Linked DNA regions of Diceros bicornis minor. Each later gene encodes a partner of the first gene's protein in a complex. Links are inferred from orthologs where the notes say so. Each region holds a gene or a part of one and is shown in the gene's direction. Other genes may lie near its edges. The genes, in order: LNX1 and IGSF5.

What was found.
Region 2: the proteins of LNX1 (region 1) and IGSF5 are in contact, whole or in part, in a crystal structure (PDB 3VQG), measured with the Mus musculus proteins. The link is inferred for Diceros bicornis minor from reciprocal best matches to the Homo sapiens genes LNX1 and IGSF5. Residues at the interface, in NP_001153049.1 of Mus musculus: Gln396, Leu397, Gly398, Ile399, Lys400, Leu401, Val402, Phe413, Leu416, Pro446, Ala449, Ala450, Ile453; in NP_001171358.1 of Mus musculus: Val367, Thr368, Leu369, Val370.

The regions. Positions count from the first base shown.
Region 1 is NC_080747.1:41,672,705-41,688,031, reverse strand, and holds the start of LNX1 (E3 ubiquitin-protein ligase LNX), read left to right. Parts: upstream 1-9,273; 5' UTR 9,274-9,397; intron 9,398-15,327.
Region 2 is NC_080766.1:39,671,464-39,686,708, forward strand, and holds the start of IGSF5 (immunoglobulin superfamily member 5), read left to right. Parts: upstream 1-9,497; 5' UTR 9,498-9,545; intron 9,546-13,105; 5' UTR 13,106-13,125; coding exon 13,126-13,183; intron 13,184-15,245. UniProt on the Homo sapiens protein: Provides, together with MAGI1, an adhesion machinery at tight junctions, which may regulate the permeability of kidney glomerulus and small intestinal epithelial cells. Mediates calcium-independent homophilic cell adhesion.

The DNA.
Region 1 (15,327 bases):
AAATGACTGACACTTGGAACTGACCTGTTGGTGACCCTGGCATATGGTTTCTGGTTCCTTTATCCTGGAGAAGATGCTACCTTGAGATAGATTGAGGATAGACCAGGAACCTCACAGATCTATTCCCAACTTCAGGTTCAAAGATATATGCAACAGTCTCTAGGGGCAGAGATGAGGAAGGGACATATCTAGCACAACTACTGTCCCTTCTGACAAAACCCCGCAGTTACATTACGTTGAAGAACAAGCATCCCACGGTACACCTGGCTTAGTGCCACACTGACAGTGTAGTCCCAGCTGCTAGTTCAGAGGTGGGTGAATGGTGTTGATCCAGGAGCAGCCAAATCACCTAGAAGGACTGGCCACCCTGGGGAGACACTTTAGTGAGAGTCACCTAGTGTGGGAGTGTGAGGACATCTGTGCAGGACTTGTCAAAGCTGCACTTCAGTCCACCTCCTGGGGCAACTCAGAGAAAGTGAGAGACAACTGGAAGGGCGGCTTCTCCTCTTGCCAAATAAACCACATCACGTTAGGGGCACAGCCTGAACTGGAAGGACCAGCCTGGCCACCCTGGGCTGATGGCCGGCACTGATATCGACAAAGCCTCAAATTAAAACAGTACAAACAGGGAACTTGGAGATCTGAGGCCTCTGTTACCCAGACCGGTTAATAACCTGTCTAACTCCTAGCTCTTAACTCTCCCTAAATGTTCATTGAACTGCGCTGAATGGGTTTGAACACAAAATACAGGCCTCCTCTCAGACTTTCTCCTATCCCAGGAGGAATGAGTTCCTGGGGTCTCATCTGTCCTTTGGCCCCTTGGTTGCAGTTGAAGTCAACATTTCCAATTCAGGATTAGTTGAGCTACTCAAGAATGGGGGACTCCAGGAAAGGTTCATATTGATAACAACCCCAAATTCTCATAACTGGCAAAGGATAGTAGGAGGGGAAAGTATCCATTACTCTGTGATAATCTAAACTTTGGACTGGATGTACAGATTCCACACTCACCTTTGGAGGAAATGGCTGCTCCTGGAGCCAGAGTTAGCAGAACTGAACATGGAGAAATCCTCCCTCTACATTGCCCGGACCACGTCCACTGCCCCACCTCAACGTAGCTTCATGACCACCAGAAAGTCTATCCTTGTGTATTCCAGGAAACTAATCATGGATTAATGACAGCTACCCATGGGAATTCAGCTCTAAGAAGGGCTGAAAAGAGAAGGCACTCATCCAGGTTCAACGTCCAGTTGAAAAGGAGCATCTTCACCTGCTCATGGTATGAGAAAAGTCAAATGAACTTTCCTTTGCTGAGACTCTGTTAGTCAGAATCTGACCAAGAGCCGTCTTCCAATCAATGGTGAGTGGTTTTCATGATATTCTCTTTCTTATATTCTTTGACTTAGGGGAACTAAAGGACGGGCTTCTTGGCAGTGATGCCTGTTTTTGAGGACCTGCCCTTTCTTGGATGGAAGTGAAAGTTCATTGGGAAGGAAAACACTTCCCCACCTATAAAGTTGGCTTCTTTTGTGCTTATCACACCCGAGGAGGCCAGCAACATGATTCTCCTCTTGCTTTTGCTTTTTCCACCCCATCCCTTATGGGGACATTTTTTTGTGAGTCACATTATGTTACTAGTTATTATGAATTTTCAACTCCCTCAGGAAAAAGTTTGAATAAGTTGGGCTCTTAGGCTGGGACAGAGCACTCTATTAGACAGCATAAAAGACAGCAAGTATGTGGAGGATTCTTGTGAGGAAAATGGTAATTTGTTCTTCACTGAGGACTGAAGATACAAAAAATAGAATTAAATGGGATTTAAATTACACAAAGCTTAAAAAGCTTATGAGGTTTGAGGTGGGGATCTTTAAAAGAGGTTTACTGAAGTTGCCAACTCCACCTTAAAGGAATTTCAATTCATTTAAATATCTACAGACATGAGTGTTACCTGCAGAGCACAGACCTTTTCAAGTTCTTCCCAGGGTGCCAGCCAATCCTGACTGTGGGCACATAACTCTGACACCACATGTGAGAAGTAGTTAGTCTTTCTACCCACTCAGAGAACCCGCCTCTACATTCATGAAAACTGTAGAGGTGTAAGAGGTCTCAGGTTCTCCAGGGAGACACACACAGAATCTGGAAGCATGGTAGGTCCCCGTTCCCACTGGCCTCCCTCTCTGCCTGGCCCTAAAGGCTAAGGGCCAAGGCGAGGCTGTGTGGGGGCCCGGAAGATTACAGGCTATAAAGTCTAGAGGACCCACACTCCAACGTTGGCCCCATCATTTACTTTCTGGGCGAACTTGGGCAAGTACTTTTTAACAACTTGGAGCCTTTAAAGGAGAAGAAACAAGCCAACCTTCCTCTTTCATGCAACTGCAGCTGTCCCACTCCTTCGTTACGTTAATTTCCACCTTGTGCTTTAATTGTTTGTCTATAACTCTGCTTCTCCATTGACTATAAGTTCCTGAAAACAGAGATTCTTCTCATCCTTGACATTGACTGGCATATTAACAGTGTTTAACAAATTTGTTGTATAAGTGAACAAACGAATGACTGAAAGAATAATGAATGTCTAGATTGTAGCATAATTGCAAAAATTAAATGTAATAAAGTTACTTCCCTTCCCAAAGACTACAGGCCTAGACTCCTGGGAAAAAGAAGAGATACCTCAAGATCTAACCTAACAATGTGAATTCCCTCCCTTCCCTCATTCCTCCCCTTGTCTTACAGTCATCTTTAGTTCTTTTAACTGATATTTATCAAAGGAACTGGGCTACTTTCCTTCTGGGCACTGGGCTAAATCCTGAGGATCTGTGAAAAGTCATGTTCACTATCTGGCAGTCTAGAGAGGAGACAGTCTGTAAAAAATTAAAATCAGTAAAATAACTGCTGAAGTAGAGTGTGTGGAAAGCACAGAGCAGGCAGGGTTATCTACTTGGGGAAGTCAGGGAAGATTCTATAAAGGAGATGGCATTTGAGCTGAGCCCTGAAGATGGCGCAGGAGCTTGCCAGGCTGAGGGAGGAGTAATGCCTGAGTCTCAGGTCTGCCTGGAACCAGCTGGGCCCGTTGGACAAGTTACTTTACATCTCAGAGACTCAGTTTCCTCATTTGTTAAGTAGCGTTGGCTCATGAGATTTCTCCCAGGAATCTGTAAGAGTACGTGTAAAAGGGCATAACATCAATCCAGGCAATGGTAAATGAACAATAAATGTTAGGATGGTACTGCATGGGTAAGAGCCTGGAAGTGAAAGATGCTGGTTATTATGGGAACCGAAGTCAGTTTTTTAGGGGGGATCCCAATAAACAGTGCCTCTCTTTCCCACCTGGGTTTGGGATAATTTGAGAAAATTCAAAAGAGTAACTATGGAGGCCAAAATATCACCTTTTAAATGGAAATGGCTAAATTGGAGAACAACGCCTGGAACAAGGAAAAGGAGCTTGAAGGCACCCAGATCTGGGCGTGGCAGCTTTTCAAACAGGAGCCTGCCCAGGAAAGACTCAGAGCATGGAGCAGCAGAGGAAAACTGGCTTATTCCCAAGAGAGAAAAGAGAAGAGTAAAATCCCAAGCTTGCCCAGTGGTTCTCCATTTTCCCAGTTAAGGACTGGCAGGGACAGAGTGAGTCAAGGGTGGAGGGAGCATGGTCCGAGTTTGCTTTGGAAACCACTTTCCTGTGGAAATGGGGGTGTAAAGGAGTGCTGCTTTCTAACAGTGTTACAAGGGCATGGGGGCTAGCGGCGGGTGGTATTCTGTGGATGGAAAGGATAAGGAGATGTCGATGAGGCTTGATAAGCAGGCAGGGGCCAGATCATGAAAAACCTCGCATGCCCAGCAAGGCAAATGACCTGAAGGTGGGATGACCACTGAGAGGAAAGGAAGAGGCACTGACCAGGATTACCAAGGAGAGTGACCAGTGCAGCTGGCATTGCAGAGCATACATATACAGTGGCACCCATCTTCATGCTTGTAGGAAGAGAGAAGTCTGGTGCCATGGTTCTTCCAGGCCATTAGGAAGTTGAGGATGCTGGCAAGGAAGTGGGATCTGGGCCAGATAGGCTTGAAGTGAAAAGAGTAGGGAAAGAATATTCTTGGGCAGCCTGCATGAGTCCAGGAACCAGGGATCACAATAAGTTCAGAAAAGAAGGCAAAATTTGAGTAAGGGAGTGAAAAATCTGAATGGTTAAGAGAATACAAAAGAGAGTAGCATTCTCAGATTTTTTTGAAATAGAAGATTTTTGGGTGATAAAGAGATCCCAGGTGTGGCCCTGAGAATGGGCAGCTTAAGAAGAATAAAGGTAAATGTCCTTATAGTTGAGGAGGTCAAGGATGCTGGAAGGGTCAGGATGAGGCCAAAGTTAACAAGGAGAAGAGACATTTTACATCCTTGATATATGGTATTGGGTCAACTATAGTAGCTATATATAAAGGAACCAAGAAGAAACAAAGATACGACAACCTTCAAAATAGCAATAACCATCACCAAAAAATTGAATAAACTACCTGGTTTATGCAGGGATGGAGTCATATAAAGATATTTACAGTTGTGGAATACAGGCCTTGTGACAATTACGGAGGCAGAAACAACGAAGTCCTTTTTTTTTCCTGCTAAAGAAGAGTGTGCTGGCCACAAATCTGTGTAGTAAACCTTCATAAAATACGCACCATCTCCAGTAACTGATGTGCTCCCTCTCCTCCAAAAAGCACACAAACCAGAGAAGTGTCTGCTCCTAACCTGTAGATCCACTGAGTATTCTAGAAACTCCTCTGCAAACCAGGCAACATGCGGGCTGTGAGTTTGTGAGAAAAATGTAATCTCTTCCACATACACAGAACCAGATGGCATCCATCACATCAGCTGATATTTGTGATTATTACTATTATTTTCCATAATTGCCCTCCTGGGATCTGCTTATTTGCATCATGCTAAGTACTTGTAATTAGCCAATGAAAGATTTGGAGCTAAGCTAGTTTTTTTAAAAAACTGAGGCCAATATGATGGAATGTGTACAGCAATTCCATTTCATAATACTAAATACTTTCAGCCAAAGAGGTTTTTTCTAGAGGTGCCTTTTATTAAAATCAGATGGAATATGTTCACTTTTGTTGTGGCATTCAGTCATCTTAGACAACTCTACAAATATGCCATGAAAAAAAAAAGGAAGCAAACAAGGGCAAAGTAATTCTTACAATCACGAGGTATGGTCTTAGCAATAGGTTCATCGCCAGGGAGGAATCCTTGAGAATGCCAACCTTCATTGTGGTGATCTGGAAGGAAAGAGCTTTGAACAGAGGCCTCCTCTCCCCCTTTAGACTTCCCTGTCAAGATACATAAAAGAATTCAAACTAATCAAAAAGCCCAAGTCAGCTGGCTGGTTAACGAGGACAGGCCCAACCTTGACTTCAGAGAGCTTTCTAACACGTTCCACCTGCCTCTCCAAAGAACAAAATTTACAGGATATATTGACTGCAAAGGCGGCTTGCTTCTAAAGAGAAAGATGGTCATATGGTAGCCGAAATGGCAGACCACGGAAGTTTAGCTCAACACTGAAAACACTGTCGCTCTTAACAAATTACCCCATGCCCAAGATACTAAATTTCTTTCATTCTTTTCTTTTTTAAGCTGTTCAATCATCATGAGAGAAGTAGTCAGCAGTAATGTGAGGACCTGAAACAGTCAGCCCTTGAGGTTCTTTATGATCTGGTCCCACCTTACCCGTCCAAATTTAGTGTGTGATGGATCCTCTTCACCCCAGCAGGGTGAATCATTTTTCCCCTCCTCCCCCACCACGCCCCTCCTTCCCCACCACACGCAGGCTGGGGTCATCCCTGCCTCCATCTGTGCTGCTGCCCTGCCTGGAATGGGTTGCCCTTCTCACCATCTCTCCAAATCCTTCAAGGTCCAATTCATGTTCCATTCTCCGTGGAATCTTCCTCAATGGCACCAGCCAACACCAACCTTTTCCTTTCCTGATTATCCCTCCCACTTACTGTCAAAGGAGGGATAGAAATTGCTGCTGTGCTTGGACTTACATTGTGAAGATTCCGAGGTTACCTCTGAGCTCAAGGCTGCCATGGCCTTTTAGCAATGACAGTGAAAATGGTATGCGAGGAGGGCATGGGGCAGTGTGTGTCTAGTATTTGCCAACCCTGGTCTAAACCACCTCACTTGGCAGTGGCATGTACTGGAGCTTAATTTTACATTGTCTCATATTATCCAACTGTATGTTGTTCTATGTTTTTATGGTCGTTCTGCTAAGATTTTCAGATTTTAAAGGGATAGACTGTTGAAGTTATAGAGAGAAATGACCATAAAAGATGTCATAGAGAGTCACAACCGATCATTCTGGCGGGACCCCTTGAGTTGGGGCCTTCCCTTCTTGAGGTTGGTTTGATGGGCCTCCAAAAGATGATTTCAAGTGTGCACCCAGGGGTGATGGATTTCCAGGTGTGTTTTCTGATAAACACACGTATAAATATATCCATATGTATGTATGTTCTATATATATATACTCAGTGCATAAACCTGATTACTCATTCATTTGCAATTGGAGACATTCCTCCCCAGAAACTACACACCCCAGGGCTACTTCTACAAGACACTTGCTTCTGAATAGAGGGTAGGTAAGAACCTCGATTAGTACCCAGGCAGTTGCCCAGTGAGCATGAAATCAGAACCTTCCCCCCTTTCTTTCCAGCAGTTACAATTGTTCTGGCCCTGCCACTTGCTGGCTGTGCTGTGCTTAAGCAAGTTCTCACCTCTCTACGCCTTGGTTTTCCTAGCAGTAAACAGAAAGAGTGCTTAACTTACAGGGTTGTTGTAAAAAGTGCTTAGACAGTAAGTAGCACCTGCTAAACACTTATTTATAATTTTTTATAATTATTTTTTATAATTTTTATTTATATCTTTTCACCAATACTTAAGAAATATCATTTCCATAATAATGCAACAGCCCTAACGGAATAATGAGGCACATATTGATTTTTTAAACCTTTAAAGATTATTCTAAATCCAGGAGAATCAAATGCATCTCACTTGGGATGGCCGACTATGTGAAATACATCTAGTTTTTTCTCTTCTTTTATATACCATCCCTGGGAGTGAATTCCACTCCTGGGTCAACTCTTGTTCTTAATTTTTATTCATCAGACTATATATGCAGATGGCTGTATATATGTGAATATAGCAAGTGAAACCCTGTAGCCTTGAGAGGCCTTTGGATAAAGCTTTATGCACTGTCACTTCCTGCAAATTCTTTTCCCCTGCAAATACCCCACCACCACCACCAAAAAAAAACCTGTCTGTGATTCCTGCCTCCCAAGTCAGACCTGGTGCCCTTGGAAAAAGGTGAGGCATGACTGACACACAGGGTAGGCAGGCTGCTACAAAGACTGCTGGAGGCAAGGCCTTCTAGATGATTCATCAGGTTGGCAGGCTCACTCTGCTCCTCCTCCTCTCCCAGAGGACACCCTGTCCAGGGAAGGAGAAGCCTTTGTTGTGCTGGTGTTTCTCAGTTCAGTATCAAACTGTTGGACTGGTACTTTTTCCTAAAAGACCTGCATGTGAAAGCTTTGCAGCCTTCATCTTTTTGCTCTTGTCAATAATAAAGGGGTAGCCACACCTGTCTTAGTTTCTATTGGATAAAAATGAGGATGGGGGATTTTTGTTTTGTTTTGTTTTGTTTTTTAAGCTTCCAACACTCTTCAGAGCCACCAAGTTCCCTGGGTAGTTGAGAGCAGTCTGCTGTCGGCTAAGAGGAGAGAGGAGCTAGCTCTCCGGCAAGTGAAGTATCCAGAGCCCACCACACCAGCACCCTTGACTAGAATTTCTCCTCCTTCCCTCCCTGGTTGTTTTACAAGGTATTGAATGACTGGCTGCACCCAGTCAATGTCGAGGCCAAGAGAATGGAATTGAGACCTTCCTTCCCTCCCTCCTCCCCCTTCCCCCATCTCCCTCCCATTTATCCTTCTTTCCCCCCTTCCCCCAGCCAAAACCCCAACCAAGCAAATGATCCCCAAACCTCTAAAGTAGTACAATGTTAGAACATGTGGAACCAAAGTATTTCCAGTATCAGGAAGAGGGGAAAGAGGGGAAGAGAGAGACAGAATAGGGGGAAAAAATAGGAATTTCAACATTTTTTTCTTCAAGAGAAAAAAATATCTCTCTAGGCAAGCAGGCCACCCACCCTAGAGGGAGAGCCCACAATTTTTCCAGGTAGTACATTCCAGAGAGTGAATAAACTGTCCAGAGATGCCGGAAGGGGGCCGCAGAAATACACAACATTTAATACAAGGATAGGAGTTGTTTACAATCCTCTGAAAAATGCCCAAGAGTCGAACAGGCCTGGTAATCACTCACAGCTGCGCTGTGGTGCCGGCTGAGTTGTAGGTCTCTGTCTGCTGGAAAAGCTGAAGCAACACTGTGACTTGCCCAGGGTCACACACCAAGCTTGGGACAGAAACAATTCCGATTCCTCCTTCCTGGCTCTCACAGCAGTCAACGCTGCCACCTTATTACTGTACTATCCTTCAAATCTGAATCATTTAAATTGCTCCTAATTGCAGGCCTACAGTGAACTGTAACCTCCACGTGACTCTAACTGCTAGGCAAGCTGAGGTCAGAAGGACTGAAATTTTACAAACTCCTGAACATGGAATTAAGATGTTGGGAGGGGGTGGGGGGTAGGGAAAAAGTGTTTGAAAACTCGACTTCGAAACTGCTGACAAATACCATATTTAGATTTCTTTTTAAAAAAAAAAATGAATTTGAAATGTCACCTCCAATTTGTTATTCTGTTGGAACAGAGAAGCACTTGGAATTCAAATGGATACCATTCAAAAAGGCATGTGGGGGTAAATTTCATATTTTCCAAGCAGTCAATCTTCACACACTTCCTTTTTTGCCCACTAAATTACCGTCTCGTTTCGGTGTTTAAACTTCCTTTTTAACTCTTTTGTAGGCAGCTCTTGGGAGGTGGTGGGAGGAGGGGCCCTGGGAAGCAACCAGGCCTATAAATTCAGATCTGTCCACGGGCCTGGACACGTGCTGTGCTCAAGAAAGAAAGTAAATTCCATCCGGCAAATTGCTCTAATTGATTCATTTGTCCACCAGGGACACCACCTACCTGCTTGCAGGTATTCAGGTAAATGACAGGCGGGCGGGACCTACTGGCTGTTTCAATAGCTAAGGTCCCAGCAATGTTTTATCAGTCCAGGCTTCCGTGAGGTCACACATTTCCTGCTCCCGACCGACCAATGCCCTCCTCCTTCCTCTAGGCACCTGTACACAGAGGTTGAGGCTGTTCACTGCTCAGGCAGCCCAGGGAGCTGTGGGATTCATCCGCAAGGCATGAGAGCTTCGAGGCTGCTGCTGCTTTGAGAGCCCCAGATACTTGAAAAGGTGAGCTGAAACCTCCATTTTTCTCTCTTGGCGTTTAGACCACTGGCCCCTGAGGGATCTGAATGAGGAATTTGAATGAAAAATATAAACTCAATGGCTCAGCCCTGGGTGTTTGTCCCAAAGGGAGAAGCCCTTTTGGGAGGGAAGAGTAGAGGGATGCCTTTGACATTTTGGTTGTACAGGAAAGTCCTTCCAGGCCAGATATTTAATCCTTTTTGTTTCTCCTAATCATTAATCCAGCCTCTGCTTGTCTGGGAAGTTAATCTGATTTTTTTTTTTTTAACCCAGGAGTGGAGACTTTTTTGAAACTTGACTCAAAGGTACAGACCTGTTCAGCCCGTTTCATGGGGGTTGGGAGGCCAGCACTGACTGAATTCGGAGTTGTCTTATTTTTGCCTTATTTGCCTTATTTTGCCTTACTCTCTGCGTTCATCTTACCAGAGGCAATTTCAATCTAAACCTGTGAGATGTTCCTAAAGTTTTTGTTTTTCCCCCCAAGTCTGTTACTTAGATGGGTAACTTCTGTTGCCCTCCTCAGAAGCCCTCCACTCCAGTTCTCTCCTCCCTCTTTCTTCTCTAAAAAAAGTCTACTGTTTTCTTTGTTCTTGGTTGGACACTTTTTAAAATCACTTTGCAGTCTGGACTAGAATTGTTCATATTCAGACCTGGACTGGCTGCGTGCTGAGCTTCAGTTAAAGTAAAGATTATTTCCTCAGTGCTTAACAAGAATGTAAGTTCAGGTCTGATTTTTCATTTTTCTGAACTCCTCCACTTTTTCCTCTCTTTTTCTTTTGATGGCAAATATACCGAGGAGATTGTTCTGCTAGGACCTGACTTGAAGTAATTTTACCTCTAGGATCCATTTTTGTTTTCTTAATCCTGATCACACAGCCGGTACTACTTCTGTTCTAGTCAGCCCAGTAGCCACACTCTACACACAATGCTGTTGTTAGAGAAAGGAAAAGAAACCATCTCCAAACCTAGTTCCCTGCTAGGATGAGCTGGAAAACTTGGGGAGAGAAATCAACTTGCGAGGGATTTTTCATTGGCGATTTTTCTGAGATTTCAATTAGCAAATATGTTTGCAAGAGAATAACCTGTTAGGAATTATGCTCGTATTCATCCTCCCAGAAATTCAAAGTGCATGTCAATTCTCCAAAAGTATAAATGGAAACAAGCTCAGAAGATTTTTGTCTCAGACTGTTCCTTATCACCACTGAGAATCTGCCCTGTGCTTGTTGCCAATTTCTCTCTCACTCCTTGGAGGTTTGTATTGTTCTGTAACTGACCCTTGTGTCTCTTCTTTTCCCCTGAGCCGGTGTGTTTGAGTGGTGGCTATGGCTTGTCCCACGCTAGTGTTCTTACTTGGTTCAGAGTTTTGTCAGCAGAGGAGAGAAAAAGATCTCTGAGATCCTGAATCTTCCAGATAAAAATGTGTCTTCAAAGTCACAAATCTCGCTACAAGATTGCGTTCCCTCTGGGTTACCTTTGTATAGTTAATTTATGATTAAACAAATCATTTCATCACTATATGTCAGAGCCCCTGGCTATTAAAGGAACAAAGCTGTGGATGCTGTAGCCCCAGATATAAGAAAGGAAAAAAATTACGAAGACTGGAATTTAGGGTCAGGTTATCTAGAATGCAATTGGTCTGTTGGATAAGTTGCACATGAGTATTTTCCAAACAAGTGAAAAAGTCCACAGTGGTTCCCTTCCTGTGGTAACTCCATCTCTTGGTTCAAGTGGCAATAAGGCCTGATTGAAAAATATATTCTTTCTTCCATTTACATCCTTGAGTAAGTTACTCAACTTCTCTGACCCTCAGTTTCTTCAACAGTAAAACAGGAGATAATCTCTTACGACACAAAGTGGTCATGAGAAATAAATGAAGTAACATACATAGAGCGACCAATGTCTAGTGCCGGGTGGGTGCCAAATAAAGGCTAGGTCCATCGTTCTTGAAGGCATTTTCCTGGGTTGCTTGTAGGCGATAGTTTGATCCTACTGAGATAAATGATCTTATGTGGTTGCAATTGTTAGGACCACTGATCGTTCTCATTATGATTATTAATTGTAAGTAATTAACTCCAAGCTTAACAGTTTGGAGAAAGAAAACAGGCAGGAGGCAGGAGAATGCTTAAACTATGTCATTAAACAGGCCAGGCAGACTCGTCTCCGCCAGCCTCCCAGGCCATGTCTAGGAGCTTCCGGCCACTGCTGTCACTCCTGCCTTTCCCCACCTCAAGGATCTCATCCCACAACAGACCCACAAAATGTGGTCCTCCACAGACCTTCGGGGGAAATGTCCTGTTGTTATCTGCTGTCATCTGACTTGGCAGGCAGCCCTTTCTGCTCTCAATCGTGCTATCTCCAGGGCAGACCGAGCTTGGTCTGCTCCAGTCTGGCAGATAAATAGCCTTCACCGCAGCCTGGCGAGCTACCATGCCAAGTCACTGGTAGCAGGAGGCAGCCAGTTTGGAGCCTGTACTGTACTATGGAAGGGGGACTTGTGGATCCTTTGGATATGATTGCCCCCCCGCCCCGCCCAATGGAATATCCTGTGCCCTCCGATGACCTTGAGTCATTGCCTAAGAGCAGGAGTGTTCCCAGGCCCCTGGGACCTTCTCCAGGTCTCATCTTATCCTGAAAAGATAAGGCAGGTTTTCATCATTCAAGAGCAAGGTAACAGCCTAGTGGATTGAGGCCAGGGGTTCATAACCTTGAACCTACTACTAGCTTGCTTAGGGGATCCTGGGGAAGAACCTCAACCTCCCTGTCCATCAGTTTCCTTGTTCACCTTTTCCCACATGTGGGATGCTGAAGTAGCGTACTTCACACCCGCCCTGCGTCCTGTGACAGAAGCTAGATGGGCGGCATGCCTAGTGAGTAGGTCAGACTGACTGCAGGAGAGGGGGCAATGCCTCACCAGGAAATACAAGCCTGATTTATTCAGTTCTAGGTGGAACAGTGCTACTGCTTTACAATAGTGGTCTGGTCTCTGACATCAGACGGCCTAGATTCAAAACCCAGCTCAACCTTGTACTAGCCGTGTGACCTAGGATGGTTATTCCACCTCACTTGACCTCAGCTATAAAATAGGCTTATTGTGAAGATAAAGTGAGTTGAAATAAGTAAAGAGTTTGGAATAGTACCTGGCACAATGTTAGCTATTACCAATATTATTTTCTTGAAAGGAAGGCATAATGGGTAGAATCAGACAGTTCTGGGTTTCAGAACCAGTCCTGCCATGAATTTCTAAGCTAAATAAGTTACTTAGTATCTCTTTGTCTCAGTTTCATCATCTGGAAAATGGAATACTTACCTAACTCAGTGCTGTTGTGAAGAATAATTGAGATGGTTTCATGTAAAGTGCCTGGTATATAGGAAGTGCTCAGTAAACGTTAACTCCTGTTATATTATCATAGAAAACAATTATTATGTTGGTTACAGTTAGACTTCTTAGGTCATGCTACAGTTGGAATATAATCATGATGGAAACAGTAGTAAGTTGAGGGCCAAAGACTCTCTGAGCAAAACAGATTTCCCAAAAGGCCCCCAAAGGCTTAGACGGAAAACCTGTTAACAAAGATTATCTTGTTTATCTTGGAGTTCCAGGATAGGGTAGCTGCCAGTTGAAATACCTGGTCCTTTGCAGAACTGGGGACAGTAGGATTCTGCGATGCAAATAAACAGTGGATTTTCCTGGAGTAGTGATTCCTGGCTTCCTGGTCTCCTTTTTAGATTTGAATTCCTCACTTAAAGTGGAGAAAAGAAGGTCTGCTAGGATTCTGATTGCTTAAAAGGCCGCTCTCTAAGATGCTGCCAAGAGAGGACAGATGAGGGAGGCTCTAAAATGTGTGCTCCTCATTGCCTCAGTATTCATGGACCTCCTGGCGGTATGTAACTATTCCTGGTATTCATGTGCTGGCACCACATAGACTCACTTTTATGTGGGTGGCAAATGTATTGTCCTCTGACAGTGCCTCCAACATATCAAAGGCTTTTCAAAACCATTTGGAAGAAAGACTACATCGTTCTTCCTGGGTTAATGGGATTTAACCATTTACTAGCCCCCTAAAGTAAGGGTTAACATGAAAACCATACAAGTTGCTGAGTACAAAAACTTGGACTGAGCTGAAATCAGAAACAGAAAATGTTGGTTGTCTCCTGTAACTTGCTTGCATTCACCATTTCCTCTTACCTCATTTTATTCTAAGTGATGCGAGGACACTATAGTGACCTATAGCTTAGTTACCCAGAGACATATTTCAAATCAATATAAGGAAAAACTTTCTAAGAATTAAAGTTGTCCAAAAATCCAGTAGGTTGCCTTTTGGCAAAAATGAGTTGGGAACAGTGAGTTCCCTGTCACTGAAAGTGATTGTTTTTGGTATATTTAGTGCCTGGTATGTGTTTGCTGAACGAATGAATGAATGAATGCCAAAGAGGATTTGTGTTTCTTTAGCAGCACATCTACTCTTCTGTAAAATGAGGATTATGTCACTGATCTCATAGGATCATTTTAAAGATTAAATGAGAAAATATATGTAGAGTACCCAGCATAGTTTTTTGCACCTAGTGAAGTGCTCATTAAATAGATATAATTACTATGTTTTATTTTATATTATATTCTAAAAAGAAGATGAGAAAAGGGAGTCCTCCTTCAGGTAGAGGGTAGACAAGATGACCTCCATATTTGAGATTTGCGGTTTTTACGATAGTCTCTTTATTCCTATTCTCTTCACTCCTGCCCTCTTCCTCTGTCTTCCTAAAAGAACTTCTCCCCCCTTCTCTAGGGAGCCACGCTCCTTGACATGATGGATTGACTAGTATACTTCTCACAGTGGCAGTAGGTTCTGTCCATCCCAATTAACCAGGGACATTTTTTTTACATCACTAATTTGTGATTTGGAAGGTGTGGGCTTAAATTCCACCATGATTTTCCGGTGACTCTTATTTGACTTTTGTGTTTGATGCATTTGTCACTGGGACACAAAAGACTTCACCAACAGCAGAGTGGAAACTCTCCAAGAATTTTCTTTAATAGCTTCTTGGCACAGTGCGTGGCAACAGCACACGCGTGATGGTGAGGTCTAAATATGTCATTGCTATCTGTTGAGATGATTTGCATAACTTGCTTATGACTGCTTTTGTCAGTCATGTGGCCTTTTTTGAATAGAACGCTGCATGGTTAGGCTCCTGCATACTCACGTTAACGCATGAATCACCTAGTGTTTTCAAACTCCTCATTAAGTGTTATTGTTATACTTGTATTACGTCTTCTACAACACACACACACACTCAGCCATTCTATCTGAGCCCTTTTTACCCCTTGGGGCCCTTGCAAATTTGGTTTAACAGTCATCTCTGAAGACATCTGTATTCTAACTTAGTAATGGATTAAAAGGAAATTACTACATTTTTATACTAGAGCAGAACTGCTGTCCCTAAGTATGTAGCAGTCTAAGTGGCTGCCACCCCAACATGCTTTCCATATCCCTAAGCCATGTAGAAAAGTGTTGGATCCTTGGGAATGTTCACCCCATTCCTGGGGAGAATACTCCTAGCAATACATAGCCCCCTGTGTTAGTTTCCTAGGGCTGCTATAACAAATACCATAAATTTGGTGTCTTAAAACAACACAAGTTTATTCTCACACAGTTCTGGAGAGCAGAAGTGTGAAATCAAGGTGTTGTCAGGGCCTCACTTCCTCCGAAGGCTCTAGGAGGGAATCCTCCCTTGCCTCTTCCAGCTGCTGGTGACTCCAGGCGTTCCTTGGCTCGTGGCTGCTTAGCTCCGATCTCTGGCTGTCTTCATATCACCTTCTCCTCTGTGGCTGTCTTCTCTTCTCTATCTTATAAAGATAATTTCATTGGATTTAGGGCCCACCCGGATAATCCAGGCTGATCTCATCTCAAGATCCTTAATTA
Region 2 (15,245 bases), on another chromosome or scaffold:
ATAAGGTCACATTCGGAGGTCCTGCTGGTGTGGACTTCAACATATCTTTTTTTGGGAGACACAATTCAAGCTATAATGGCTTCCTTGATTGATGTTCGTATCTGAAGTCAAAGTAAACTTAACTCTCATCCACAGAAGCAAGAAAGATCCCACCACTAGAGCCAACATTAGCATCCAGGGAGTTTCATCTCCCAAGCAACTAGGAGCCCTCGTGCAAACATTAATTGCCAAAAAAGGACGATGTGCTCATTTCTCAGCCATACACACCTGTGATGTGTCAAGCCATTTGACATGCCTAGAATGAGAATTCTCCAGTAAAAATAGAATAGAATAAATTAGATGATGATGTTCCAAGGCAATTTATACTTTTCTGTGCTTTGGAATTCATTTTCAAAAACACGTTTTATTTGTCTTTGAAAATCTAAGTTCACTTTCAAGGGCCACTTTTATTTTGCTTTTTGTCCAACCATTAGTGTGTGAACTGGATGATACACAGGACGGTAACCACGGGGGAACTCCTGGCTTAGGGCCGTGGAACCAGCAGAAGGCCCCCAAATTTAATGACTGCTTTTGAAAGATTTTGCACATTTTAAAGCCCACTCACCCCTCAGCAAACACCACTCTTTGCCCATTGACAAAACCAGGTTGTCCTCACAAGGCCTCTAGTCCCTTGGAGGGTGGCTGACATCTGAGACTCGAGGTCCAGGGCTGGGAGCCTGCTTGTCCAAGATGCCTTTGTGAATACAGGTCATGCCCACCCATTCCTGCGTGCCCTCTTCTCACCACCAAAACGATTTGAGGATGTGGTGGTTTTAAAGCGTGACTGCCAAATTCTTCGACATTCCTCCACTGGGGGATCTGACACCCCTCTGCCTGAATCTGGATTCTGTGACTTCTTGGGCAGTGGAATACAGTGGGAGTGATTGTGGCAGGAAGAATCCTAAAATGACCCCCATCTTTGTATAACCCCCTCCCCCTTGAGGGTGGGTGGGACCTGTGAATATGGTGTGCCATCACTCCTATGTCTGTTACGTTATGGGGCAAAAGGGAGATTATCCAAGTGGACCTCACCTAATCACACGAGCCCTTTAAAAGTTTTCTCCAGCTGGCAGCATGAGAGGGAGTCAGAGATTTGAAGCAGAAAGGGGATTCAATGCTGGCTTAGGAGATGGAGGGGGTGACCTTTAGGAGCTGAGAGTGGCCCTCGGCTGACAGCCAGCATGGAAGCAGGGACCTCAGCCCTACAGCCAGAAACAAGTGAGTTCAGCTCACAAACCAAATGAACTCGAAAGTGGATTCGTTCCCAGAGCCTCCAGATAAGGAGCCAGGCATGACGGACACCTTGATTTTGCCAGAGAACCCAGCCAAACCTGCCTGGACTTCTGACCTGCAGAACAGTGAGACAGTACGTGGGTGCTGTTTTAAGCCGCTACATTTGTGGTAGTTTGTTATTTAGCAACGGAGAACAAATGCAGTGACATTGCCAGTTTCCAGGTCCAGGCTTTAAAAGACTAGCATCTTCCATCTTCTGTCTACTGGAGCGGTTGCTCTTTGAACCCGACTGCCCTGCTGTGAGGAAGCCCAGGCAGTCCCACAGGGAGTTCTACCTGGAGAGGAATGCAGACCCTCAGCACAGCCACACCCGGGCCAACTTTGCAGCCTTGTGAATGAGCCGTCTTGGAGGTGGGTCCTCGAGTGCCAGGATCTGCTCCAGCTGACACTACGGAGCAGGAGAGGCCATCTCCGCTGAGTGCTGCCCAGATGGCAAAATAAATGATTGTTCTTATTTTAAGCCACTAAGTTTTGGGTTGGTTTAAATAGAGGGTGGAATTTCTGCTGTTTGCCCTGGGCAAAAATTGCTAATTATGTCTCTAATGATATGGTTGATATTAAAGATAACTTCAATAAAGCTGTTAAAGGCATTCCTACACAAGGAGGAGAAATGGCCCTTGCAACTTTAAGAACATGTTGTCCTAGTCGATTTTCCCCCTAGGATTTTGTGAATTAAAGTGTGTAGTGGACAGAGAGTATTTTGCAAATTCCTACTTAAAGAGGGATTTATTAACTTTGTACCCCAGTCAACCACACTCACAAAAATGACAATATTTAATGCTGTTGATGGTGCGGTGAAATAAGTCATCTCAGACACTTAATGTGGGATCGTAAGTCAGCATAGTTCTGGAAACTAATTTAACTATTCATAATTTTAAAGTGATTAGTGTTTTGACTTATGATTCTAATTAAAAGAGCCTACTGTAAGATACAGTACCAAATGCAAAATAAAAGAAAAAAAACCCCCAACCTTCTATATACATAAATACACTCATCTCAGTATTATTTGCAATATTGAAAAGCTAGAAACAACATAATGTTTAACCACATGGGTGTTCTTACAGCCACTTTGATATACTTATAATGATATGATGTTATGTATCATACTGCAGCATATTATTATGAAGCCATTAAAACAATGTTCATGAATGGTTTTTAATGATATGGAACAATGCTTATAATATAGTGTTAAACTAAAAAGGATATAAACTTGCACAGACAACATTATATTTAACTATATAATATGTGAAACTATATATGGTGGTTCAAGGAAAAGATTTCTAGTAGCTGAAATATAGATGTAATTTAATGTTTAATAACAAAGAATTCTTTAAATAAATGATGGTACATCCATAAAACATAACACTTTTTAGCCACTTAAAATTATTTTGTAAGAATATATACATTTATGGAAACACATTTAGGCCATTTGATTAAGTGGGTGTATTGGTTTCCTAGGGCTATTGTTACAAAGTACCACAAATTAGGTGCCTTGAAACAACACACATTTATTCTCTCCATTTGTGGAGGGTAGGAGTCTGAAATCAAGGTGTGGGCAGGGCCATGCTCCCTCTGAAGGGCCTGAGGAGGAATCCTTCCTTGCGTCTTTCAGCTTCTGGGGGTTGCCAGCAATTCTTGGTGTTTCTTGGCTTACAGATGCGTCTTTCCAATCTCTGCCTCTGTGGTCACACGGCCTTATCCCTGTGTGTCTTCATGTAATCTTCTCTCTGTGTTCAAATTCTCTCTTCTTATAATGACACCAGTCATGGTGGATTAGGGCCTTCCATAATCTAGTATGACCTCACCTCTATTTAGCTAATTACATCTACAGTGACCCTATTTCCAAATAAGGTCACGTTCTCAGGTTTTGAGTAGACTTGAATTTTTGGGGACACTATTCAACCCTGTATAGTGGGTTAAGTGAAAAATGCAGACCTTGGGTATAAAATTATATATAATACTTCAATAAAAAGTTAAAAATTATACATGACATACAGACATACACGTTCATAGACACGTAGATGTACGTACACATACATAAGGGATTGGAAGGTTTTATGACAAACACTTTATAGAGGTCTCCCTGGGTGGCAAGGTTCTGGATTCTGCTTAATGACCTCTGTGAATTTTTATGAGTTTTCCACATTGACAACACATTCCTTTTATAACTGAAACAGTAATGAATTTTTTTATTTTTTGCCATTCAAATGGTCAACAATCAAAATAGCGGATGGTGTTGATCACATTGGTTGTTAGCTGCTAGGGGCGATATAACTATCTTGGAGAGATTTTTGGGAATCCAGGATATTTCAGACTTCTTACAGTGTGCGTGTCTTCTGACCCAGCAATTGCATTTTTTTTTTTAAAAAATAGGCTTTATTTCTTAGAGCAGTTTTGGGTTCACAGCAAAACTGAGCAGAAGGTACAGAGATTTCCCATATGCCCTCTGTTCCCCCACAGGCATAGCCTCTCCCAGTATCAACATCCCCCACCAGAGTGGTACATTTGTTACAATTGATGAGCCTACGTTGACAAATCATCATCACCCAATGTCCATAGTTGATCTTAGGGCTCCCTCTTGGTGCTGTGCATTCTAAAGTTTTCGACAAGTGTATAATGACATGTATCCACCATTGCGATATCACACCGAGTAGTTTTACTGCCCTAAAAATCCTCTCTTCTCTGACTATTTATCCCTCCCCCCAGCAATCACGGATCTGTTTACTGTCTCCATAATAGCAACTACATTTTTTGGAATTGATCCTAAGGAAATCATTAGGCGTATACTCTCTGACCCAGCTGTGATGGTGCTCACCACCTCAAGCGATGTGAAGCCCAACAGCAGGAACAGGTGAAGGTAAGTGATGCGACCTTCAGTTGATCGAACTATGTTTAGTCATTAAAAATAATGTATTTCCTGATTGGGGGCAGAGGTTTGTAGTATATTAAGTAAATGAAATCTAGTTACTAAACAGCAGGTACAGTATGAACATTTTTTTTTTTTTTGTGAGGAAGATCAGCCCTGAGCTAACATCCATGCCAATCCTCCTCTTTTGGCTTGGGAGACCAGCCGTGAGCTAACATCTATTGCCAATCCTCCTCCTTTTTTCCCCCTTTTTCTCCCCAAAGCCCCAGTAGATAGTTGTATGTCATAGTTGCACATCCTTCTAGTTGCTGTATGTGGGATGCCACCTCAGCATGGCTGGACAAGCGGTGTGTCGGTGCGCACCCGGGATCCAAACCCGGGCCGCCAGTAGCGGAGCGTGTGCACTTAACCGCTAAGCTACGGGGCCGGTCCCTAGTATGAACATTTTTTAGCAGATACTTGCCATGATGTTAGCAGTGCTTGTCTCTGTGTGGTGGTCTTAAGAGCAATCTGTTTTAAAATTTTCCACCATTTTTTGTGTGTGTGAGGAAGATTCCCCCTGAGATAGCATCTGTTGCCAATCTTCCTCTTTTTGCTTGACGAAGATTCTGCCTGAGCTAATATCTGTACCAGTCTTTCTCTATTTTGTATATGGGTTGCTGCCACAGCATGGCTGCTGACGAGTGGTGTAGGTCCATGCCTGGGATCCGCACCCAGGGCACCGAAGCAGAGTGTGCTGAACTTAACCACTAGGCCATGGGACCGGCCCCCAAATTTTCCTCCTTTTTGCTTCCTTGCGTTTTCTAATTTTTCCATAGTGAATATGTATCACTTTTGTAATAAGGAAAATAATAGAAGCTACTCATTAAAAATTCATAATGCTTATCTATGGGTGATATTGAGAATACAGATGGCTTTTATTTTCTTCTTTATATTAGGTTGAGCCTAATATGAAATTGCTATTTCTGTAGGTGAAAAACAGTTAAATGTGGGGCCTCTTATATGAGTTAACCTACTTTATATTTTAATATTTTCTAAATATTCTAGAGATCATGCTACTTGTATACTTAAATTCCTCAAAGGGCTCCTGTGAAAGGATTTAAAATCATGGCTCTCATACAAATCCAAAAGGTACACATGTCCAAGATCTTATTTAACTCTTTAATTAGTTGAGGGAACCAGTGAGATGTTACAACAGATTCAATGAAGAATTCAAAGAACACACATATATAAGCCATCGTGAATGCTGAAACATTTACAGTCATGTGCTGCATAACGATGTTTTGGTCAATGACGAGCCACCCCATATACCATGGTGGTCCCATAAGATTAGTATCATGTAACCTAGGTGTGTAGTGGGCCATACCATCTGGGTTTGTGTAAGTACACCCTATGTTATTCACACAATGACAGAATCGCCTAAGGATGCATTTCTCAGAACATATCCCCTACATTGACTGTACAAATAGATGCAAAACTGGTCAAAATCTGCAGGGCAAAAATCAACTGCATCCTCACCAAAGTTCATTTGCATCTCTGTGTACTAGAATCATTTGTATTACTCTCAGTTTCTTACAACTCTGTATTAGTCAGGGTTCTCCAGAAAAAGAGAACCTATATATATATATGTATGTATTTATTATGAGAAATTGGCTTATGCGATTATGGAGGCTGAGAAGTCCTATGATCTACCTTCTGCAAGGTAGAGACCCAGGAAAGCTGGTGGTGTAGTTCCAGTACAAGTTTGAAGCCCTGAGAAGGGAAGGGCTGATGGTATAAATTCCAGTTTGAATCCAAAGGCTTGAGAACCAGGACTGCCAATGTCTGAGGGCAGAAGACCAATGTTTAGGTAAACAGCCAGGCTGAGAGAGAGAATCTGCCCCTCCTCTACCTTTTTGTTCTATTCAAGCCCTCAACAGATTAGATGAGGCCCACCCACATTAGGGAGGGCGATCTGCTTTACTCAGTCTACCAATCGATTCAAATGCTAACATCTTCTAGAGACATCCTCACAGACACACCCAGAAATAGTGTTTAACTGGATATCTGGGCATCCTGTGGCCCAGTCAAGTTGACACATAAAGTTAACCATCATGAACTAGCGTTTTAAGTCGTTCAAAGACAGCTCAGGCCCTATTATCAGATAATTCAGTAACCTTCTTAGTCTATTTCAAAATTTTTCACTGCTTTCCTGATATTCCTTTTTATATTTGAAGATAAAAACTAAACTTGTGACTGTACCTTTGGGCTGGACCCTGCTCATCTAAGCCCCCTCTGCCTCCCAGCTCTCTGCATCCGTTCCCATGAGCCTCTTTAACTTCTCTGGTGAACCAGGCTTCCTGCCATCTGCCCCCAGGCTTAGACGCACATTGTTCCCCCTGCCCCAGAGGGTGGTCCAGCCGGCCCCTCCACCTTCCTACCTGGTTAGCTCCTAACTGCCCACCCACCAGCTGAGCCCAAACCCAGTTTCCTTGGAGAACCCCGCCCCCTTCATCAAAACTTCCTTCAGAGACTTTACTGCAATTTGAATCACAGTGTGAATATGTTTTATGTGAATCTGAACTTTGTGATTTTAAAATAGCTTAGGCTAAAAATATTAGTAAAATCTCTCTTTATGCTCAAACTTTGAAATAATGCAAACCTCCCAAATTTCGAAAAAAAAAAATGTTCCTCAGGATCACACAGTTTCAGAGCTGCATTTCCAATGACTTGTAAATCGTGTTTTCACTCTGGTCCCAGAGGCAGCTGCTCAGGAGCTGGTGGACAGGAGAACCCCGGGCCCAGGGTTGGCAGTGGGGGCCCTCCACTTGCTACAGACCTTCTGAGAGTGGTTATTATTGTTATATATATGCATTTTGTTATGGCACTTGTAGGGGGTCCGAATATGCCACTCCAAAATATGCCACTTTGGCAGAAGGATTATTTTAAACTGAAGATGATAGAGCAGGCACCAAACAAACCCCCTGTCCTCCCCTCTCTTGTATCAGGAAGGGCAAAATGGTCTTAGTCGCTGGACACTCTTATCAGAATCTACATAATGAACTGTACCAAAAGCAACCCTTATCTTCCATTAGTCTCCCCTATATATTCACCTGCCCACAGTTTGCTGCCCCTCAAAACCTAAGCTCCTTTTTCTTCGTCTTGTCACTTCTCTATGAATTTATTGTCTTGTTAAGATTCTACCTAAGCCTGAGTCCTAATCACTTCTTTGAGTTACTCATCACTGTGTTTCCCCTGCAGGTACGTGTGCTGCGCGTGTTAACAAACTCTAGTTTAATCTCTCTTTTGTCAATTTAATTTCCAGGCCCTCAGGCACAGAACTGAAAAGGGTAGAGAAAAAATTTGTTTCCTTCCCTACACACTCGTTGTTATGAGAACTTAAAATTTTCTAAAAGCTGTAACAATATTCTCCAGTAGCAGTGCTGAGGCTAAGGCTGGGGCTGGAAATCTTGATGAGGAAAGTCAGCTGTGATACTGTGCTCTGAAGGCCAGTTCTCATGATTCCCAGTGATGACTGATAGTCTAAATATTAGGACTGAAGCTGAGAAAATAAAAAAGCTCATCAGGGCCAAAATGAGCTATATGCACCTTAGATTTTTATTTCTGTGGTTCGTTGTTCTGCAATTATTTGAGTTTTGAATTATGCTAGGCCATCAGGGACACAGTGCTTGAATAAGGTGCTATGACCCTGTGTATACTTGTTAGATTATTTGATTAATATGTTAACTCTGTGAGTCTATCTGTTTTGCTCACTGTTTTTCTGACCAGCTCCTAGCACAGGGCCTTGTAGGAGAAGGAAAAAAAAAACTTTTCCTCTACCCTTTTGGGTTCACTGTCTGGGGACTGTGAATTAAACTGACAAAAGACAGTTTAACAGGAGAAAAGGTTTATTCTGCATGCATATGGAACCAACAAAGGAAGTAGCAGGGTCATTAAATGGCTGGAGTTAAAGGCTTACATACCTAACTTAGCAGGGGAAATGGAAGAGGGGAGAACAAATAGGTTTATTTAGGAAAGACAAATAGATTTTTAGAAGAACGAATGAGAGATAAGAAAGTTGGTGATAATGTTTGTCTATACAGGTATGAGTGGTCTTTCCATCTTATTCTGGGTCATAAACTCTCTTGGAGAAGGGATTTGGAGTACGTTATTTACGTTCTCCCTTCTGGGGGTAGATCCACCCTGAAGAGGAATTTATGGCAGCCTTATTTCCCAGAATTTGCTGCTTTTAGTGAGAAAAGGGAAGCTCTGAGAAGGCTTTTTTACATCTGTTGAATCTCAAATGTCTTCAGCTTAAAATAACTTTTATGCCAAACTGACATATTTTTGGGGTGGCATATTCTGATCCCCTTCAACTGGAAGGCACAACATTTCCCCCTATTTATTTACTTCAGGGTCTTACTCTAAATGTCTGACCCACACCTTGTGTTGGTGCCTATCCTGTGCAGACACCCTTGACCCTGAGTCCCCTGACAAGATTAAAACGTACTGAAGGAGACAAGCCAGACATTCAAAAAGAACTGCACGAGAGCAGACAGTTTAATAACGGTGCCGCGCATCAGGATTTTGGGAGATGGTCTTTCCAGCAATTGTCACGGTGCTCTGAAAAACCAAGTCCCTTTGTTCTGAGGCGCTGGGGTGGGGTGTGGGAGGGCTGCAGAAAACCTCTCAACAGTTCTGGTGCAAATACGCCAGAGGAAACCGCTTCACTCCTCAAGGTGGCCACGTTCCAGAGGACTTCACCCTTCGGCCTTTTTTTTCTTTCACAAAAGAACCCATTCTTGTGGATGTGGAGGCGCCTGGCTGGGAGAAGGAACCGGCTTCACCGGCCGCTGGGATCTGTGTCAGAGGCCAGGAGGGAGCAGGGTTGGCCAGGCCGCCGCCCACAGGCAGGAAGGAGCTGCCAGCCTCCAGCTGGTGGAAGACGACCAGCAGGACAGCTTGGGACCCATTCTGGTCTTGGCTCTGTGGGACTCGAGAAAGGCTCAGAGGAGGAACAGGGAGGGCAGGCCGAGTAGGAGGACAGCCTTGGCCCCGCGGCCTTGGCATTCTCAACCCGGGCCGGACTTCCTGCTGCTGGTCGGGGCTGGCTAATGATTAACAGGAAATGTGCCGCCCTGGGGCACCCACACCTTCCGGGGGCGAGGAGCCTGTGGCAGGTGGAGGCCACCTCTGGGTTTATAGCCCAGCCTGTGACGTGACAGGAGCATTTGGGAGGCACTTCCTGTTAGCTGGTGAGGACGGGCCGAGATTCTCTGGTGGCCAGACAGATTTGCTCCTGCGTTTGTGTGGAGACAGGACGAGAACCTTCGCTGATGTCCTGAAGAGATTTCCCTGCCTGAGTGAGGTGAGAGCTCCTGGGTGTGGCTCCCAGCGGGGTTTGTCTGGTGGGTTTCTTCACTGGGACCAGGTCTCCTCCCAAGGAGCAGGGGACCAGGCCCCCGGAGGCCATCGGCTGTCTCCCAGGGAAAGCGTGGGATGATCAAACACATATTCTTTGTTTCCCAACTTCCAAGAAGTTAAAGATTAAAAGAGCCGGCTGCTCTGAGCGTGTAGGACTTCGAGACGATCTCTGATCTAGCGAGTGTCCCTTTCATGGGGAGCTGTTCTTGGGGATGCGCTGAGAGCCGAGACTCTGCTGGAGTTTGGGAGGTCAGGGTTCAAATGCTGGAATATTTCTGTGACTCATGTTGTTCGTCGGACAGATTTTGAAATGCCGTTCTTCTCCCCCCTAATGAGAAGGATAAGAGACTGGCTCTGACGTCTCTGGAAGTGCTGAGTTGGCCCTCAGTCGCAGGCCTTGCCGAGGCACCTCCTGATGTAGGGGTGCACAGAGCTGGGGTTCAGGGAGTGGAGGAGAATGCTGGGGCCTGTCCATTAGGCCTGCAGGTCTGCAGCAAGCCCGTGGAGTGGATGTTGTTGCTGCTAATTCTCACTAACCCTGAGAAGCACTTGCCTCCTTTCTTTTAGAGTTTGGTTCTTGTGCTGTTGCCTAAAACAGGACGTTGGCACACACCTTTGGGTTTTATGATATCCAGCTATTCCTCAGAACCCCCAGGGAAGGGTTTGTGTGCGTGGTAATTAAGTGAGATGATCAAGTTCAGCAGTTTTCTTCCTGTGATGACTAGCTTGGTGGGTCCAGATGGACAGTCTGAGTTATTTTGCTTTCTCAGGGCAGGAAGGAATTGGTTGAGGGTTAAAATCCTGTCTATTTCATAAGATTTAAGATTTTAAGAAGACTTCACAGTTTTTCAACTAAAAGTAGGTAATGCAAGTCTTCCATAATGAAGGAACAAGAAGGTAAACCTCAAAGACCCATCAAACTACTGCATAGAGATATTAACTTGCAAATTACCCAGCATAGGTCTTCATTCAATTAAAGCAACTTGCCTGATTTGAGTTGAAACTTGAAATCAACCTTATGACAGTTCCTCCCTGCACACACCCTTCACATACCATCCCCGCACAAATCCACATCTGTAGTAACCTTGCAACTGGGTTCCTATGCTGCCCGCCTGTGAGTTCTGCTGGGCCCATTAGAAATGGAGTCCTTCATTCTCTCATACAGATAATAGGGGAGTGGTGTGTGAGGACAGGGGCAGAATGGAGCATTTGACAGTTAGGTCATCTGTTCTTCGTCTGCAGCCTGCCTCCCTTGCTTATCAGCGGCTAGAAGTATTTCCTAGTGGACTCTAAGCTGTTGCCACGGTTTCAATAATGCCCAGTCCACACTTTGCATTTATTGATTTAGTAAGAGGTGTAACCTTTTATCACTCGACGGTTCCATTTCTCCTTCATCCTGTGCTTGGATCTAGCATTCCAGGTGACTGGTAAAGCAACTGACTTGTCAAGTTGTGTTCACTGAACCTTAAAATTAGTAAATGATTTATTCGGCTCTTCGTAATTCGGGATCTTGAATCAATCTTGGAAGGCCGTGATTTCAGTCCGGTTTGTGTACAGCATATGTTCAGGGATTCGCAGGGTCTGTTTTAGATCATTGCAAGGGGCAGGGTTCCACGACAGTATGCACTGCAGCACAGATGCTTTGAACCTCGCAGTACCGCACACGAGTGGTTATAGTTCAGCGCACATGCTGAATTCTGCTTTCCAAAGATATGAGAGAAACGAGGTGATGGAAACCCCATGTTCCTTCTCAGGACCTGTGAATACCCAGTAACAGTGTGGGTCACGGGCCTGAGCCCATGTGATCCTTCACACTGCCTCTGTTTTACTCAGCAGCTTGTAGGAGGGCGTTTCCTGGACTGAGGTGTGGAGGTTATCTACCTGCGCCTACTTCAGATTTTGTATTTCTGCTTGTGAGCTGCTGTGGGGTCTGCCTCCCACGGTCTGTGAGAGATTAAGGGAGACCGGAGCCCTGGATGAGTGTGTCCGCTCATTACAAAATCCCACACGCGTCCCTGATGGAACCCAGCACCCCAAATTTGGGAGGGACTAGGTGGATCCCCCCAGCAGGGCTGTGAAATCTGCGCGACTCCAAAGCGAAAGCGAAAACCGCTCTCCACTCACTGTGTTCCACAGGTCAGCGGTGTTGAGGAATGTTTGAAATAAAGAGACCCTTCCCTGAGGCTCAGGAGCCTCAGTTGTCTTTGCAGACAATTCCCCATAAGTTCAGTGGGTGATTTAACTCTAAGTCCTCCAGCCGGACCGAGCAGTGCTGGTGACTGCCTTGGACAGGCCTGTCCCGGGGGGGAAGGAAAAAATAAAAAGAAAAAATGCAGAGGGGCCGGCCCCGTGGTGTAGTGTTAAGTGCGCACGCTCTGCTGCTGGTGGCCCAGGTTGGGACCACGGGTGTGCATGGACTCACGGCTTGTCAGGCCATGCTGTGGCGGGGGTCCCATATAAAGTGGAGGAAGATGGGCACAGATGTTAGCCCAGGGCCAGTCTTCCAGCAAAAAGAGGAGGATTGGCATGGGTGTTAGCTCAGGGCTGATCTTCCTCACACAAAAAAAGAAAAAATGCAGAGATGGAGGGTGAGCAGGAGGGTTATCAAAGAACAAATGTTTTGGAAGGAAGGGCCAAGAGGCCTACATGACAGTATCCCCATGTGCTGCTGAGGGGCCGGTAAGGCCTTCCTCCATCTACCCTGATCTCTCCTCCTTCCACTCACCCCACACTCTGCCCCAGCCCCAAAGCCCTCTCTGCAGTTCCTCCAACACTCCAGGCACAGTCTCACCCCAGGGCCTTTGCACCTGCTGTTCCTCTGCCTGGAAAGCTCTTCTGCAGATAGCCACGTGGCTGTCACCTCACTTCCTTCACTGTTCATGGAGCACCTTCTCAGGGAGCCTTTCTCTGCCCTCCTTATTTGAAGCGATAGCCAGCCCACCCCATGCACATGGCCCCTGACACACACTCCTCCCTATTCTATTTTTCTCCATACCTCTTGCCATCTTCCAGTAGGCTTATGATCTATTTCTTTATTTTGTTGCCTGTTTTCCCTTTAGAATGTAAACTCGTTATGGGCAGGATTTTTTTTTTTTCTCAGTGATGAAAGTATCATGATTGAAATGCATAGCAGGAAACCCACACGCAGACACCTCGGTCAGTGATTCAGCGGTAACGGTATACCATCTGCATCTCATAATTTATACATGGCCTTGGGAGTAAGATCATTTAATACAGTGATTCTCAAAGTTGGGCATGGACCAGAATCGGAAGATTGTTTAGTTGTTCAGACAGATTACTGGGCTCCCCCCCGGAGTTTCTGATCCAGCAGGTCTGGGGTGGGTCCAAGAATTTGCTTTTCTAACAAGTTCCCAGGTCAGGCTGGTACCACTGACCATGCTGAGAAGCTCTGATTAACCCATCCGCGGACCGTGGGAGGCTGCACATGCTCTGACAGTAACTGCCCATCACTGATGCACTGTGACCTGCGGCTTTGTTTCCCAGGGGAGGAAGAACATGCGGAGATGGAGAGCGGCTGCAAAGGCATCCTGACCGTGCTGGTGGTCCTGGCTGGGCTGGCAGGTAAGGATCACGGGGGCTCAGAGGGATGTTCCTGGGCGTCCACTTGGAGTGGGCAATAAGGAACCCCAGATGAGGCTGCCAGGACACACGGCTTCCAGAGAGTCTTCCTTAGGCACTCCCCACCGCGTCCCCTTCCATCCGCGCCCTCTTGAGTGGGGTCCATTTCCTGCCACGTCCCCTCAAGTCCGGGAGCGGTCCTCCAGGTGCATCTGACCCCACCAGTCCTCTTTGTTGGGGTCCTCGCCGTCCTGGGAACATGCCTTCAGTACTTTCCCACATGTCATCGCTCTCGTCGAAATGTCCCTCCCCTGCCTGGTTTTTCTCCTCTTCTGTTTCCATCTGGTCTTCAAGGAAGGCCCAACTCAGCATCACCTCCTCCTGGAAGCTTTCCTGACCTTGCAGTTTTTGGGGTGATAATCCCAGCTCCATTTATTGACAGGGTGAGGGGCCCCTTGTGTGTGATTCCCACCCCCCCACAGCTCCTCCTCGTCGTGGGACCCTCCCAGGGTGTCGGTCGGAGTGGACTCCAGGGTGTCCGAGGCCAGGCTCTCCTGATCAGGAAGAGGAGTGGGCGGGCATGGGGGCCTTAGGTAACTGGAGTTTGGACCCCCAGCTTTGCTTTCACTGTGTCTCGTCTAGATTTCATTGCTTCAGGTGCGTTTGTCTTGTTTTCCCGGCTAGATTTTAACCTCCGGGTCCTCCTCCTGTATTCCTTACTGCAGAGTTTTTAAGGCATCGTATTGAAGAATAATACACACACAGACAAGTGTGCAGATCCTGAAGGTACATGTTCACAAGCCGAACACCTTCCTGTGTCAATAGTGAGCCTAGAACATTCCACAAATGTTCCCTTTCAGTCACTCCCTATCCCTTTCCCCCCAAAGTGACCGTGATCCTGACTACTAACTGCATAGATAAATTTTGCACTTTCTGTACATATGAACCCTATTTTAGATGGCTGGATAATGTTTTTTTTTTTTCTTTTTAAAGAAACTCTGGCCATGACAGCGTTAAACAATTAAAATGGAATAAAATAGAATAGGGACTATCAGAGGTGTTACATGCAGTAAGTACTGTTTAGAAAATTTTGGTTTTGGGTATTACATGTTAAGGCTCTGGGTCCCAGGCTGTGGTGGTAAAATGCATTTGGGGGCAGCAGAGATGTTCAGAAGCCCCTCCTTATAGCAGGCAGTGCTAAGCGATTAGTAGGTGCTTGGAAACATTTGTTCACAGGGTGGACAGGGGTGCACGGTCCCTGCTTGTGTAGAGCTTGGGGATTCATCGTGGAGCGAGCAGACCACGCTCTGTGCATGTGTTAGGGAGATGGCTCCAGACGGGCCTGTCTCAGCCACGGTTGCAAAAGTGTTTTCCAGGGGTTTAGTGGGAAACTGACAAAATCTGGGTCTATAGTTTTTCTGAGACATTTTTCCTAAAGTCTGTTTTGAAGGCAGGGATGGCTTTGGTCGAGGCCTGGAGACGGCTGTTCTGGGAAGGGAGAGTATTATGGGCTCATTCTAGAGCCCCCGGGGATGGGGTCCATCGCAGAAGACTGAGCCCTGTGGATGCTTCCTCTTGGAAAGTCTTGGGGTAAAGACACCCTGTTTGTAGACTTGGCTTTGAGTAGCTGAGGGCAACCTCCATGTGCACCCAGAGGGCTCCAGCCTGCCCTCTCCTCTTTACTTGGCCCCCAGTGTAATGGATTATATAGAACTGGACCACCTAGTTTATTCACTCAGTGAACAGTCACTGAGGGTCTGTTATGTGCACTGCCATTTAGTTGCAGGCACTGGGATGCAGGGATGGGCAAAACCAGTCCTAGTCCTTGCTAACAAAGAGCTTAAAGCCTAGTAGGGGAACCAGCTTTAATCGACAAAAAAAAAATCTATATAAAAACACCACTGTGACAATTGCGTCACTGACTCGAAAGCCTGTTATAGGATAGTTTAACCTAAACAGGATGGTCTGGGGAGGCTCCCTGAGGAGAAGATGACATGGCCAGGAGCTGAGGAGTAAGCAAGACTGGCACACCATGCTGTCAGTGCCTGTGGAAAGGCCCTGGGGC